2 linked regions of the Elephas maximus indicus genome follow. The protein of the gene in region 1 purifies or fractionates together with the protein of each later gene. This does not show direct contact. Links are inferred from orthologs where the notes say so. Each region holds a gene or a part of one and is shown on either strand. Other genes may lie near its edges. The genes, in order: ITGA3 and CD9.

Region 1 (8,395 bases):
GAAACTGAAGAGGACTTGAAGCACTTACTGATGAAGATCAAAGACTACAGCCTTCAGTACGGATTACAACTCAATATAAAGAAAACAAAAATCCTCACACCTGGACCAATAAGCAACATCATGATAAAAGGAGAAAAGATTGAAGTTGTCAAGGATTTCACTTTACTTAAACATACAGTCGACACGCATGGAAGCAGCAGTCAAGAAATCAAATGACACATTGCATTGGGCAAATCTGCTGCAAAAGATCTCTTTAAAGTGTTAAAAAGCAAAGGTGTCACCTTGAAGACTAAGGTGCACCTGACCTAAGCCATGGTATTTTCAGTTGCCCCATATGCATATGAAAGCTGGACAATGAGTAAGGAAGACTGAAGAAGAATTGATGCCTTTGATGGACGTGTTGGCGAAGAATATTGAATACACCACAGACTCCCAAAAGAACAAACAAATCTGTCTTGGAAAAGGTACAGCCAGAATGCTCCTTAGAAGCAAAGATGGTTAGACTTCGACTTACATACTATGGACATGTTGTCAGGAGGGACCAGTCCCTGGAGAAGAACATCATGCTTGGTAAAGTAGAGGGTCAGCAAAAAAGAGGAAGACCCTCAGCGAGATGAATTGACTCAGTGGCTACAATGATGGGTTCAAGCATAACAGAGACTGTAAGGATGGCGAAGGACGAGGCAGTGTTTCATTCTGTTATGCACAGAGTCACTGAGTCAGAGCCAACTCGACAGCACCTAACAACTACAACAACAATCTGTATGGAAGCAGATAACCAGGTCTTTTCTCCCAAGGAGACACTGGTGGGTTCGAACTGCCGACCTTTCGGTTAGCAGCTGAGCGCTTACCCATTGCACCAGCAGGGCTCCTTAATGTGGGCTTAGCCTGTTTCAGTTGAAGGACTTTCAGAACGTGGAGCCACGATGAAACCCTGGTCTCCCTGAAGAGACCCTCATTCATCTTTGGCACACCCCTGGGTACTCAGGTCTATGCTGGCACATAGTAAACTAAGTTGCGATCGAGTGAACTCCGACTCATGGCAACCCCATGTGTGCCAGAGCAGAACTGTGCTCCGCAGGGTTTTCAGTGGCTGGTTTTTTAGAAGTAAAGCACCAGATCTTTCTTCTGGGTTACCTCTGGGTAGACTCAAACGTCCTACTTTTCAGTTGGCAGCCTAACTCTTTAGCCATTTGCACCACCCAGTGGCTCCTCAGCACACAGGAAACCAAAAAACCAAACCCGTTGCCTTCAGGTCAATTTTAACTCATAGAGACTCTATAGGACAGAGTAGAACTGTCTCCACAGGGTTTCCAAGGATCAGCTGGTGGATTCAATGGCTGACCTTTCCGCTAACAGCTGTAGCTCTTAACCACTGTGCCACTAGGGCTCCCAGCACATAGTAGGTTGTCAGTAAATGAGGCCAACAGAGATCCTGAGCCACGGACCAGGCTCTCCTGCCCCACCCCTGGCTAGCTTCCACTCACATCTGGGTCAACGGAAGAAAGGAAATCTGATAAACCCATTCACACTTCACCACTCCTCCCTCCCCTCCCAGTAATTTGCATTTTCAATTCAACTCAGAGATAGTGACTGGAGTCTTAGTTCAACTGCAGAGATTTCGTCCACTTAGTTCAATAAATACTAGGAGCCTGGGGACGCACAATGCTGGAGCTGGCTGGAGAAGGATGGAGGGATTTTCTCCAGCCCTTTCGTTTTACTGACTCGACAGCAGTGGGTCTGTTTTTTTTTCTGTTTTTTTCATTTTGCAGATGGGGAAGCCGTGGCCCAGAGCAGGAAAGTCACCTGCCCAAGGTGAGAAGGTAGAAGAGCTGGGCTCTACACATATGGCACCATGATTCCACTCCACTGATATTCCTTCAGCACCTGCCTGTGCTCTTAACCCCTCCACTTCGTGCTAACCTTAAGGTAAGAGGGGAGACAGAGCCAAGTGGTGTCATCTGAGGCTCCGGGAGAGGAAGATGGAGTGGGGTGGGGGCCAGGCAGAGGAAGGCTGGTGTAAACACAGCAAGCACTAAATAAATGGAAGCTGCCTTTCTAGATACTGATGTTGCCATTCTTCTCGCTGGGAAAACTTCACTCCAAATCAGGCTTCGACTTTTGCCTTTCTTCTATCCCGAGGCTCCTTCTTGCTAGTCCTTTTTTTCTCCAACCTTATTTAGACACTCCTCTTCCAGGAAGCCTGCCCTGACCTTCCCTGACCCTACAGCAGAGCCCATGGTTTGCATGTTATTCCCGTGTCCTGTTTCTCTGTCTCTGTCTGCATTCCTGGGTGGGTCCCCTCTCCATGAGGAAGAGCTAACATGAAACCAACTGAGGCATGAGATGAGGCTGTGGATGATAATGGACTGAAGCCAGTGGAGTTCAGACCTTTGAGGTGAACTTGGTGCTTCTCTTTCTGCATCTCTCCGGCTCAGACCCTTCCAGTCTCTGTGTCTCCCTCCACCCTCATTCCAGCCCCCAGATCTGTCTGACACTCCCCCACATTCCTCAGCATGAGCCCTCTACCTACCAGTCGCCCCTGCTCCCACCCCCACATTCTCTCTAGACACTCTGCTGGAGTGGAAAAACCAGCCCTCAACCCTTTCCTGCCCCAGCTCCAGGATCGGACATGCTGATCATTCTTGTTTGGGATGGCCAAAGAGATAAAGACTGGCATGGTGTCAATCTGTCATCCCAGGACTCTCAGAGATGTTTCAGATACGACCCCTGTCCACACTGGGTGTCCATGTTGGACCCCTGCCCATCTGGCCCTGGCTGGCTCCTATTCTGCAGGAAGGAGGTGAAAGAACAGCAGCCAACCAGAGGGAGGGCAAAGGCTACAGGTCATCTTCCTGTTCCTTGACCCCAGGTGTCTCCTAACCTCTAGAGGCCCTGGGGGATCCAAGAGGGACCAGAGAAAGGCTGCATGGCTCTGAGAGTTACAGCTCAGGAACAAATGCTCTCTGAAGGGCAGACAAGGACGAGTGTCCTCTCCCCAAACACCACACAAAAAGCTGTTATCGCAGCTGTTTTTGTTTAGGTGTGTCTGGCCATCTGGCCAACATCTGCCTAGAGTTTGTCACTTAAAGACACAGCTGTGCTCAGCAGCTTTCAGTCCTAGCTCTACCGCCCACAAGCTGCGTGACCTTGGCCATCCAGGTAACCTTCAGAGCCTCCATTTCCGCTAAGTCAAATGAGGACGATAACCCTGACCTCACAGGGATGCCAGGAGGATGAAATGAGAGTCAGAATATGAAATGATTCATAAACTGTAAAATTAGACTCTGGGCTTTATATCTAATTTCGTATTCATAATTCTTTTTCTTAAAGAGAGCCCCCAAATTGTACAAGCTTCAGGCCTCACCAAACCTGGATCTGCCCTGAGCATTGTACAAATGTTAATTATTAGCGTAAGTGGTTAAGAAAAAGGACTCCAGGGTCGGATAACACAGGATCAGAACCCTACCTCTATGGCCTTCACCAAGCTCCTTAACCTCCGTGAAGTTCAGTTTCCTCATCTTTAAGATGGCAATAACACGTTCCCTTCCTGTTATCAGGAAGGGCCAGTCCCTGGAGAAGGACATCCTGCTTGATAAAGTACAGGGTCAGAGAAAAAGAGGAAGGCCCTCAACAAGATGGATTGACACAGTGGCTGCAACAATGAGCTCAAACATAGCAACAATTGTGAGGATGGCGCAGGAGTGGGAAAGGCTTCATTTGTTGTGCATAGGGTCGCTATGAGTGGAACCTACTCGATGTCACCTAACAACAACCACAGAAATGGAGATAACACCTCAGAGATCATTTTGAGGATTTAATGACTTTTGTAAAGCACTTAGCATAGTTCCCACCGTATAACTGCTTAATGCATGGTATGTTTCTCCTTATTATTATAAACTCCCAGACATTGGGGCTGAAGGCTGAATTTCAAGGGAGTGGACACTGAGGGATAGACTCCTGGACCAAAATAAGAAAGCATCTTTAGCCAAGAGAAGAATGCTCAGAGAATGATGGGTCTTTGTGCTGCAATAATGGAAATCTGTGTTAGACTCAAAGTACATAGCGACCTATTGAAGTTCCCTTCCAGTTTGATCTTTTCCCCATAACCAGACCTTTGGGCCACACCCACCTATCTCTACCCGGCGCTTCCCACTACACCTGTGGTGGCTCAGCGTCCTCACTCAGTCTCCAAACGTTCAACCCAAACCTGGATGGGAGGAGGAGACTCTTGGGATTCTGCCAGGCTGGGCCCTGAAAGCAGGAGTGACTGAGAAATGGATACAGTCTGGGCCAGGCTCCACCGCCTTGAAGTGCCATCGAAGGAGAAGCTCCACACCGACAGGTTTACAAGGGATATCCGAGGACGCAGCCCTCTTGGGAAAATGCTGTCTGGCTGCTAATTATAATTAGCAATTATTGATGTTTGGTTGTTAACACTGCTAAATATCTGTCTGGCTTTGCCGAGGGCCTATTCCCGGTCAGAGGGGTGGGCCAGAGAAATAAATCTCGACCAGGAAGTCCAAGAGGCTGGGTGCGAAAAGGAACTTCCAGAGACCGCTAGCCACGTCTCAGGGACTCACAGCGCCGCAGAGGCGACCCCAGCACTCCCGGCAGGCGCGCGCGGACGTCGGTTCCCAGACGCGCCAACGCCGGCGCTCTCCGGCGGTCAGATCGAGGTGGCTGCAACTGGAACGGCGTTTTCAGCAGTGGTAGCAGCCGCAGCAAAGCGGCGGGACAAATCCTACCTCCGGCCCCGACAGTCCAATCCATTTTGCTTGGAAGAAGACGCTTCCTGGGAGCAGCAAGGCGCGGGGAGGGGAAATCCAAGCCTTTGAGGGCCCCCGGACAGGTGTTTGGGGGGGAGGGCGGAGTCGGGGAAGGGAGGATGAGGAGGGAGGGGCGGTGCTGCCCCTTTAAGAGGCGGTGGCCGAGCCGGGATCTTTTCTCTTTCCCCGGAAGGAAAGCGGAGCCGGGCTGGGCGCGCAAGGTGGGGAGGTGCGAGGCTGGGCGTGGGAAGGCGGGGCGCGCGCGGGGGAGACCCCTCCCTCCCGTCCTTCTGGTGGTGGACCGGTCCGCCGACCCAGATCTGCTGCCGACCCAGATCTGCCGCCGAGCCCGGATCGAAGGCGACAGCGCGGCCAAGGGGGCGCGGCTGGGACAAGCTGGGAGGCCGGGGGCCCGGGGCGAGAAGCGGTGACCCTGTGTAGGGGGAGACAGGAGACTAGATCCGCGGGCGGAGCAGAGGGATCGGGGAGCGCTGACCCTGAGCGGACGTGAAGGACCAGGGCTGGGAGCAGGGAACTGATCAGTACCGCAGGCGCAACGACGCGGAGGGCCCGAGTGTCCCGGGCTGCACCCGGAGCAGGTGGAACGGGTCCTCCCTCCCAGCTCCGCTCTCTCACGCGCTTTCGCCCGGCCCCGGTCTCCCGCTCGCAGCCATGGGCCCCGGCCTGCGCCGCGCACCCGGTGCCCCGAGCCCAATGCTCTGCGCCCTCGCCTTGATGGTGGCCGCCGGCGGCCGCGTCGCCTCCGCCTTCAACCTGGACACCCGATTCCTGGTGGTAAAGGAGGCCAGGAACCCGGGCAGCCTCTTCGGTTACTCGGTCGCCCTCCATCGGCAGACCGAGCGGCAGCAGCGCTACCTGTAAGTGTGGCTGGCGGGGGTGGGGGAGGGAGTGTGTGTGTTGTGGGGTACCGATCAAGAGCGGATTCGGAACCCTGGGCCCGCATACTTCCAGGCCTGCTACCGCCGAACCCTGCGAACGGAGGGGTTAAGTGGCAGGGAGCCGGATAGCCCTCCGGCTGGTGTTGGGCGGGAAACTGAGGGATTGGGTGTGGGGTGAGGGACAGTCGTCATTGGCAAGTGCTGACCGGGCCACAACGTGCCTAGGCGGAGCCTCCTTGGCCTTTAGACCTCTCCTGAGAGCGGAAGTGGGGTCTTCGCTGCTGAGTGTCTTTCCGTTCTGTGAACCAAGCGCTGAGCAATAGCCTCTTCTTCCAGAGCTGGGAGCTGGGGCAAACTGCAAGATAAACACCTAGTGGGACCCCTCTTCCCCCCCAACACACGCACATGGAAAGTACCTATGGACATATGCATTTAAACCCACTTCCTCCGCTCCTGACACCTCGAATTTAGTCTGTGGCCACTCAGCCAGCCACACCCTCTGCAGAGCCAGACTGGAGGGCCTCCTCCACCACCACCTGGGGGTTGGAGGGTGAGATGATGGGTAAATCTGGGCGGTTGGAAATGTCAAAGCGCCCAAGCAGACCCCTTAAGGTTGTGGGGAGTAGATGAGAGAGGAGGGGCTGCCCCAACTTCTACTCATCTCCTGCCCTCCCCCCACACACAGCCAGCAGTGGCGCTCTCCCCACCAGACATCATCCCGGCATTCCACAGATTCATGTTGAATCTTCAACCCTGAGTGTGTTTGTTTTGGTTTGAAGAGGGAAATGGTGTTTTTCTCTTTCTTCTGGTCTCCTTCCCCAACAGCTGCAAGAAGAAGGAGAGGGAGGAGCTAGACATAGGGAACAGAGGGGAAGGAGATTGCAACCAGCTGCTTGCCACCCCCCCATTCCCACCACACACACACACACATACACGCACACACATGCGCAGGCACATACGAGCACACACACATGCCCAGAGGGACATGTCTAGGTCTGGGAGGTTTCTCTGCCATGGGCTTCGAGCATGCTGAGGTTGGCAGTTGGGGGAAGAGGCATCTAGAGGAGGTGAGGCTGCCCAGCGAAGGCCAGTAGTTAGGACAGGCCAGGCAGGTCTCACCCACCTCTTTGGGCTGAGTGACCTGGCAGGAGTCTACCCCTACCTGGCCTCTCACTCACTACACTGAGCTAGAGGATGTGGTCAGATCAAGGGTGTCTTAAAATTCCTCCCAGTTCTGCCTGGAGCCTGTAGAAACTGAAGGAAGCTTAGAATGTTCAAAGTCCAAGCTCTGCCACAGCCTTGGCCCCTGCCCTGCGGGCCCAGCCCCTGCCCTGCCTGCCTACCTGGACTTGGCTTCAACTCTGTCCAGCTTCTGCAGAGGCTGCAGCTGCCACACCCTACCCAGCTTGGCCCCAGCAGCTGAGATGTGGCCTTGGCCACTCCTCCATTTTTTTTGAGACCCTAAGTGACCATTGGAAACCCTGGTGGCGTAGTGGTTAAGTGCTATGGCTGCTAACCAAAAGGTGGGCAGTTCAAATCCTCCAGGCGCTCCTTGGAAACTCTATGGGGCAGTTCTACTCTCTCCTATAGGGTCGCTATGAGTCGGAATCGACTCGATGGCACTGGGTTTAGTTTTTTGGTTTTAGGTGACCATCAGCGTAAGTTTCTATATTGGTGCTCTCTCTACACCTGCCCAGAAAAAAATTTGATTTGACTTGATGCTGAATCTGCACAAGGAAGCAAAAAATCTGAGTGTAAATTATTCTGTACCCACCCCCTTTGCTGTGTGACCTTGAGCAAGATATTTCCCTTCTCTGGGCCAGTTTTCCCCAGAGGGGTTGGACCTGGATCCATATATTCCTTCCCACCTCTGTTGTTCTATGGGAGGCAACTTGACGTTGTGGACGGAGAAGAGGCTTGGGAGTCCCAATGCCAGTGAGCTGTCTGGGGTCTATCCCTAATAACTAAGCCTGAATGCCGCCGTATATCTGTGGGGGTGGGGAGTGGACAGCACCCTTTCTCATGGGGTGGTACCAGATGCCATCAGGTCGATGCCGACTCCTGGTGACTCCACGTGCGTCAGAGTAGAGCTGTGCTCTGGTTTTCAGTGGCTGATTGCCAGGACTTCCTTCTGAGGTGCCTGTGGTTGGGTTCAAGCCACCAACCTTTTGGTTAGTAGCCCAGCCCTTCACCAATCTTGATGTGGTGATGTTGTTGTTGTTATGGGCCATCAAGTCGATTTCAACTCCTAGCGACCCCATGTGACAGATTAGAACTGCCCCGTAGGGTTTTCTAGGCTGTAATCTTTATAGAAGCAGATCACCAGATCTTTGTTCCGCAGAACCTCTGGGCAGGTCTGAACCACCAACCTTTCAGTTGACAGCTGAGGTGAGAGTGTAGTTTAATAAAACAATATGTCTAAAGGGCTCTGAACAGCTTATATCTCCAGGGAGTGCTGAAGGCCCTTGTGTCAAGGCCAAGTCTCTGATGCACTCCCATTACTCACCAACCTCACCCAAGATGGTTCAGCGGAGGGGTTCTGCTTCTCTTCCTTGAGGGCTAGTGATGACAACTAGGCCTGACAAGAGCCCAAAAGGTTCTAAAGCTAATTGTTTGCTGCTTTCTGAACATCTGAGAGGCAGGCAGTTCTAGGTAAAGTTCTGGGTCCCTCCTTGGGTACCCTCTGTCTTTCCCAGTAGTGGTTCTATATCTTGGCCCATCTCATTG
Region 2 (7,849 bases), on another chromosome or scaffold:
GACCTAGAGATATCATTCTTTACCTGTGTTTTACTGACTACAGAAAGGCATTCAACTGTGTGGATCGTGACAAATTATGGATAACATTGCCAAGAATGGCAATTCCAGAATATCTAATTGTGCTCATGCGAAACCTGTACATTGACCAAGAAACAGACTTTGGACTAGAGAAGGGAGATACTGCATGGTTTAAAATCAGAAAAGGTGTACATCGGGCTTGTATCCTTTCGCCGAACTTATTCAGTCTGTATGTTAAGCAAATAATCTGAGAAGCTAAACTTACAAATACGAAGAACTTGACATCAATATTGGAGGAAGACTCATTAACAACCTGCATTATGCAGAGGACACAACCTTGCTTGCTGAAAACAAAGAGGACTAGAAGTATTTACTGAAGGTCAAAGACTACAGCCTTCACTATGGATTACACCTCAACATAAAGAAAACAAAAATCCCCCCAGTTGGTCCAATAAGCAACATCATCATAAACAGACAAAATATGGAAGTCGTCAGGGATATCATTTTACTTGGATTAACAATCAAAGCCCATGGAAGCAGTAGTCAAGAAATCAAATGACATATTGCATTGGGCAAATCTGCTACAAAAGACCTCCTTGAAGTGTTAAAAAGCAAAGATGTCACTCTGAGGACTAAGGTGTGCCTCACCCAAGCTATGGTATTTTCAATCACCTCATATGCATGTAAAAGCTGGACAATGAACAATGAACACTGAAGAACTGATGCCTTTGAATTATGGTATTGGGGAAGAAAATTGAATATACCATGGACTGCCAGAAGAACGAACAAATCTGTCTTGGAAGAAGTACGGCCAGCATGCTCCTTGGAAGCTAGGATGGGGAGACTTCATCTCACATACTTTGGACATGTTATCAGGAAGGACCAGTCCAGTCCCTGTAGGAGATCGTGCTTGGTAAAGTAGAGGGTGAGCGAAAAAGAGGAAGACCCTCAACGAGAGGGACTGACACAGTGGCTGCAACAATGGGCTCCAACATAGCAACGGTTATGAAGATGGCACAGGACCAGCAGTGTTTCATTCTGTTGTACACGGGGTCACTATGAGTCAGAACCCACTTGACAGCACCTAACAAACAACAACAGCAGTTTTTTCTTGAGCAACAAGAACAATAGCTAACATTTCTTGAGCACCTTTGTGGCAGGCACTGTAGAAAGCCCCACGTGTGGATTAACTCATTTAATACTCACAAGTCCCCTAAGAAATAGTTTTTTTTATAAATTTATTTACTGAACTCCTCCCACCTGGAGAATGGTAGAGATAAAATCTTTTCTTTCCTTGACCTGTCTCCCTAGGTAGGTTGGGCTCCTGCAGAGAACAGCACAATGGGACATTGTTTTTCTATTTCCCCCTCAGGGCCTTGAACACTGCGGGGCAGGAACAATGGTCAGTGGACCCTGGATTAGCTTGAATAACAATTAAAACATTACTGAAATTCCTCTGCTAGGCCACTAGTGGTGTAGGCTCAATTTAAGGGAACTCGTTTTTCTCAGCTTCTTCCTTGTCCTCCCTTTAATCTCCCACGTCCCGCTATTGGTAGTTTCCCTGAGCAGCCAGCCAGCCAGTGTGTGGTTTCATGTTTCTGCGCCTCAGTGCAAATAATTGCCTCTGCCTGGAATTCCCTCCTCTGTCTTACATCCTCACAGTCAGCATCAGTGCCCTCTGCTCTGGGGAGCCTCCTCTGACTCAGCAGACGTGGAGCCTGTACCCACTTGTTCCTGACCACATCCCTCTCAGAGAAAAGATCCCATGTACTTGTCCTTGTCTGTTAATGGGTCTCTCACCCTACCCGGAGATTCGTCTCTGTAGCCACAGCATCTGGCACAGTATGTGACACATAGTAGGTTCTCAATAAACATTTAAAGAAGAAAAATGAAATGAAGCCCTCCATAAACTGGCTTCTGCCATTCTGCCTCTGCCCTCTTTTCCTTACCCTCTCCCCCTCCCACATCGACTCTCCATCAGGTTTGGCCGTACATTCTCCAGCCTTCATCCCATCACCCCACCTTAGTTTAGTCCTCCACATCTCTCACCAGGACAGTTCAGCAGCTTCCTACCTGATCTTCCTGCTTCAGCATCTCCCCACACCGCCCCCGCCCCCTGTAGTACAGCACACACAAACAACCAGCTATCCCTATCCATCCGGGTCGTCTGCCATCCTCTGCTCACCAGCCCTTAGGGCTCCCCACTTGATCCTGCACAACTGAAGACAGAGGGCCTCTCTACTCTGTCCTGGCTCACCATTCATTTCCCACTGCTCCCCTTACATCACCCCCTTGCAGCTCTCCTGATACACCTCCCGACTTACCGTCCAATCTCCAGAAGGTCTGGAGATACAATGTCCTTTATCCTTAAGGAGTTTACTCCTTGCCCCTCCTACCCTCCACTACCCACCTACCTAACATACAGGTAGGAATCTACCTAAAACCCACAGCTGATCAAACCACTCCCAGCTTCAACCCTGACCTACCCCCTCGCTCTCAAGTGCAAGGTCCAGGACCTGGAGGCTCTTCCTCACCTCACTCCTACCTAGGTCTCCACCTTCACTTACCCCCACTCCTACCCCAATTGAGAGCCCAGGTTTCTCCCTTGCCTGTAACTTTCCCTGTGGTTCCACAGCATCGCTTCCCAATCTGGGTCAGAGGTCCCTCCTATGAGCTCACTTAGCCCCTAAACCTATCTCTATGATGCCACAGGGTCACCCTTATCCCATTGTCTGACTGGGTATTTGCCTCCCCCAGCAGACTCTGAGCTCCAGGAGAGCAGAAACAGGACCCATTCATTTCCTTCAGCCCCTGCAACCTTACAAAATATCCTTCATAAGATAGATTCTGAAAATGGTTTTTGAATGAATGAATGAATGAATCTATCAATGAATTAATCGATGAGACAAATTTTCAAATGATAATAAATAGAGCAAAGTAAGATTACAAAGTGCTAACAGTGGCTGTTTCTGGTGGGTGAAATCTTGAATTATGTGCTTTTTGCTTGTTGGTATTTTCTGATGTTTCTGTAATCAGTATGTTTTACTCTCCAAATAAAGAAGAACACCAAAGGAAACTTCATTTTGGGGGGGGGGAAATACAAGAATTTTGGGACTTCAAGAGAAGGGGAATTTCCTCACCGAGTCGTGAGAATCAGAGGAGTGTTTAAGGAGCCATAGAATTTCTACAATGGAAGGTGGGAGGGGAGGCCAGCCAGCCAGAGAGCACCCCACGTGCAGAGCTGGGCTGTACGATGGTAAATAGGGCAGGGTGGGCCTCAAGTGTTATGAACAGGGCCTTGAATGCCAGGATGAGAAACTTCGACTGCCATCGGTGCTGGACAGCTGGAGCACTAAAGCGGCAGCAATGGCAGAATCAGGACAAGACCAGACGTGGAGGATGGGGTGGAAGAGTCCCGGCAAGAACTGGCTACAAACTTTGATTCCCTCTGGGGCATCTAAGGAAACCTCAGTGGCCTAGCGGTTGAGAGCTAGGGCTTCTAACCAAAAAGTCAGCAGTTCGAATCCACCAGGTACTCCTTGGAAACTCTCTGGGACAGTTCTAGTCTGTTCTGTAGGGTTGCTATGAGTCGGAATCAACTGGATGGCAATGGGTTGTTTTGGTTGGGGCATCTAACCCACACATCCAGGAAGCGCTCCTGGAATGCCCCAACCCTCAGCCATATTACTATTCGGTGACTGGTATTTGATAATTATTTCCACACGCCTCCGATTAGTAGTCTCACCTGGACAGCAAGTCTCTAATTCCTCCTACTCCGCAAGACGTGTCAAAAAAAAAAAAAAAAGAATATGCTCAAAGAGTGAAGGGTTGCAAGGAGCCGCTCAGGGGAGAAATAAAGCCAGGGAACTGCCCTTCGAATTGGCCAAAGCGAAAAGAGCCCTCGTTCACCTGGCAGGTGGCCTTGGCTAAGGGCCTTTAGCCCAAACGACCGGCGGAGGATCTCCCAAAGGAGAGGGTTCGGCGGGAAGCCCAGAATCAACAAAGGGTGGCCCTGAAGGGAGAGGCCTCCCCGTAACTCCTTGGTAAAAGTGGCTGGGAATGGCGGTATGGAAAAACCCAAGGGTAGTCGGGAGGAAAGAGAAGACAGCAGGGCACGGCCAAGTCGTGGGGAGAGGGACAGGCTGGAGGGAGGAGGGGAAAGAGTGCAAGGCGGATTCCGAGCTGCCGCCAGGGCCGGAGTCTGTTTGAACCTGGGTGGGGCGGGCCGCATAGCGTGGGCGGGGCAGGTGGGTGGGCGGGGCAGGTGGGCCCGGCGAGGGGGGGGGGGCAGGACCATTGCACATGCGCACCGCACCCAGTCGCGCGCCTTAAGGAGTGGCACTTTTTAAAAGTGCAGCCCGGAGAAGGACTCGCAGCCGACAGCATCTCTGTCCGACGCGTGGTCTGCCTGGCCCGGTCCAGTCTAGTCCCGCATCCGTCCGCCCCAGTCCAGTCTAGCTTGCACCATGCCGGTCAAAGGAGGCACCAAGTGCATCAAATACCTGCTCTTCGGATTTAACTTCATCTTCTGGGTAAGTGAGCGCGACTGCCGTGCGCTCCTCCCCGGGACCACCTGTTCCCGGGCCGGAGGCCGCGCGCACGGGTACACTGTCCGCGTCCGGGGGTGCCAGGCGGCTGGGGGCGCCGACGGCTGGCACTGCCCGCGCTGGGCAGACACCGACGGGGAATAGAAATGGCTCTGTGGCCGCCAGCTGGCTTTCGTCCGGGTGCGGAGACGGGCGGGGCGGGCACTTTGGTGAGGGACTCATCCGAAGCGAGCAGGCTGGGAGAAGGTGGGGGTCTCAGTGGGCTGGGACTCTGGATACGGTCCTGGCCCTCTCCTTTGCTGAGGGATTTGGACTGGAGTTTGTTTGCTCCCACCCAAGCCCCTCCGAAGGCAGGAAGAGAAGATGACAGGTAGAAAAAGAGCACCCCTCTTCCGGCAGCTCAAGGCCCCGGCCAAGGACGACGGGGGTGCAGTTCTTGACCGGGATGGGATTTCACAAGTGGTATAGGCGTCCGGAGGGGACGATGTGGGCGCTCTGAGGGACTTGGTGGCGCCGGGAAGGCTCAGCGAAGAGCTGTTGACACGTTTACACTGGAGGGGAAAGGCGGCCGGCCAGGGGGGTCCGCCCTCCGAGGCTCACTCTCGGAGTGAGAGTTGGGCATAAGGTCTTTTTCCGACTACCCCTGGGTGGGCAACAAAGTGGAGACCTATAGCCCCTCCACTCCCAAGGAGGAACCTGGCAGGCCTGTTCTCTCAAACTTTGATTCTGAGTCGCTGTTAGAAAGCTCGAGCTCCCTCAAAGCTACCTGAAAGACTAGTTTGTCTTGGTTTTTTCTCCAGGGCGATAAGTATCTTAACAGGAGAGAACTCTGGGAGAGTTGGGCAGAGGAGAGGCCCGATGCCCGATGCCTGATGCCTGTCCTCACCTCCAGCGGGTTAAATCCTGTGTTTCTCCGTTTCTGGGAGAGCTCAGGTGCAGGCCTCCTGCTGCCCACCCAGGAATCCCTCTGGCCTCTCCCCCTCCCCTTTAGCCCACCAAGCAGCAAGGCAGGGTCACAGAGAGGAGCACACCTGGGCAGAAAGTCCCAGAGACACCTACAGCCAACCACAGAGAGCATTTCTGCAAATGGGAAGGCAACAAAAAAGGAGAGTGTCCACCCCACACCTTCCCTTAGAAGATTAAGGGACTGCCCAAGGACAGAAGCAAGGAATAGATCTCCTTCTGACCTGGTTCTGAGGCCAGTTCCTCTGCATGCAGGTGGACAACATTTGCCCCTCTAGAGCAGGAAGGGCTTTGGCAGGGGAGCCCTTGTGACACTCAAGGGAGATGGCCGAGGAAACGGGTACATGAAGAGAAAGCTGGTACATGAATGGAGACCTTGCCACCACAGGCTTGTCCCAAAAAGTGTGCTTGTTCCCCTAGGGCTGGTCACAGGGGTCCCCAGGAACCTTGGGGTGAATCTAAGATTTAATCCTCTCCCCAGAGCTGAAGAGGTGGTAGGAGAGCAATTTTCCAGCCTGCAGAAACTGGCCTGCCCCTGCAAATCATCACACCCAACACACACCCTGGGGAGAATGGCATGTAGGTGTGGCCCTACCCAGCCCTTGATCTGCTTTAGGGAGACCCTAACTGCAGTTGGCACTCCCTCTTCCTGGTGTTCCCACCAGGACCCAGCCAGCTGCCAGGCTGGGCAGCCTTCTCTCACCAAAACCCTGGCACCAGAAAAGTATGTTGGAAGGCTGGCTGGGCCCACCGCACCCCACCCCACCCTTGTCCTTTGGGGAGTTTTCTCCTCGCCTCGCTAGCACAGTCTCTCCCCGGCTAGGCTAGTCTGTTAACAACTGTTAGTCAGTCCTCAGCTATCTGCCTGCATTGCATCAGGGTTTGAGGGTAGAGGGATACCATTGTGTATGCCTCCACACACACCCCCAGCTGCCCCATGACATAGGGAGGAGCCTGATGGAAGGCTTCCAGGGCCACCCCTATATCTGCTCAGTATCTTGCGTAAAACCAGTTGCCGTCAAGTCAGCTCTGACTCATGGCAACCCTATGTGTGTCAGAGTAGAACTGTGCTCTGTAGGGTTTTGAAAGGCTTATTTTTTGGAAGTAGATCCCCAGGCCTTTCTTCTACTCGGGGTGGACTTGAACCTCCAGCCTTTCAATTAGCAACTAAGCACGTTAACCATTTGTACCACTCAGAGACTCCTAGTCTCTTGCCTAATGGCTTGCAGTCTGTCAGTACTATCCCCAGCTTGCCCCTCCACTTGTGTTCAGAGCTGCCCTGCCTGGGCCAGGTGCTGCTGGTCAGCTATGTAGTCTGAAACAATGATTCAGTCTCGGAACATTTGGGTTTCGAGTTGGGGAAGACATTAGAGATCATCCACTGCACCCATCTTATTCACAGGGAGAACGCTGAGAACCAGGGCGGGGGGCAGTTTACCCGGGATCACACAGCTAGTCAGAGACCAAGCTAAGACTGCAACTTCTCAGTCCTTTACTTCAGTTCTGTCCTCTTGGTCTCCATCACAAAATCACCAAGGGATCTGGTAATGGACTGGGGTAGGCAGCTGAGCAGTTGCTATGATTTTCTGAGTTAATTATTGTTCCGCCGCCACATACTGCAGTCTATAGAGGTGAAGCCCCATCTCCCAGGAGATAACGGGATAAAGGGGTATTGTGATCCACTGTGTACAGAGTATTACAGTTTTCAAAGTCCTTTCTTTTCCAAGACCTTGCATGTGACCCATGATACAGCCATAGCAGGAAACATCATCCCCATTTTACTGATGATTCGAGAAATTAGTCCCCAGAGAGGTTAAGTGACTTATCCAGGGTCACACAAGAAGCAGGATGGATTCAGAAGTCTACTTGAAGGCAGGTCAGGCTGGTTCCAAGTCCAACACGCTTTCTATCGCAGCAGCATGCTGTCTGACCCAGCCAGGTTTGGCTGCTAGGTGGAAGTGGTAGAAGGGTGAGGACAAGCTGTCAATATATATATATATATATATATTTTGAGTTCCTTAAGTTTAAAAAATATATTTTAAGGGAATCTTTTTTTTTTTTTTTCCTATGATCTAAGGGAACTACTTGGATGATTATGAAGTCATCACTTCCCTTTCTGTCTTGAGACCAGGAGCTTAAAAATTTGGCATTTGGGACCTAATATGGGCCTTGAAAAGTTGTTGTGGAGCCAGGAGCCAGCAGTGCCTCGTGAGCAGGGGACCCCGGTCTGGCAGAGTAGGAGCCAGCCTTGGTGGCAGTGGGATAGTCAGGTGGGTACCGCTTTCCTGGCACTCATCCCAGCAGGACACTCGGTGACAGCC

The links.
Region 2: the proteins of ITGA3 (region 1) and CD9 purify together in Homo sapiens (affinity purification with western blotting; 3 studies listed by BioGRID and IntAct, with this or other methods). This does not show direct contact. The link is inferred for Elephas maximus indicus from reciprocal best matches to the Homo sapiens genes ITGA3 and CD9.

Annotation. Positions count from the first base shown.
Region 1 is NC_064837.1:43,578,795-43,587,189, reverse strand, and holds the start of ITGA3 (integrin alpha-3), read left to right. Parts: upstream 1-4,972; 5' UTR 4,973-4,990; exon of another isoform or gene 4,991-4,998; intron 4,999-5,439; 5' UTR 5,440-5,441; coding exon 5,442-5,647; intron 5,648-8,395.
Region 2 is NC_064822.1:62,978,114-62,985,962, forward strand, and holds the start of CD9 (CD9 antigen), read left to right. Parts: upstream 1-4,350; 5' UTR 4,351-4,484; coding exon 4,485-4,550; intron 4,551-7,849. UniProt on the Homo sapiens protein: Integral membrane protein associated with integrins, which regulates different processes, such as sperm-egg fusion, platelet activation and aggregation, and cell adhesion.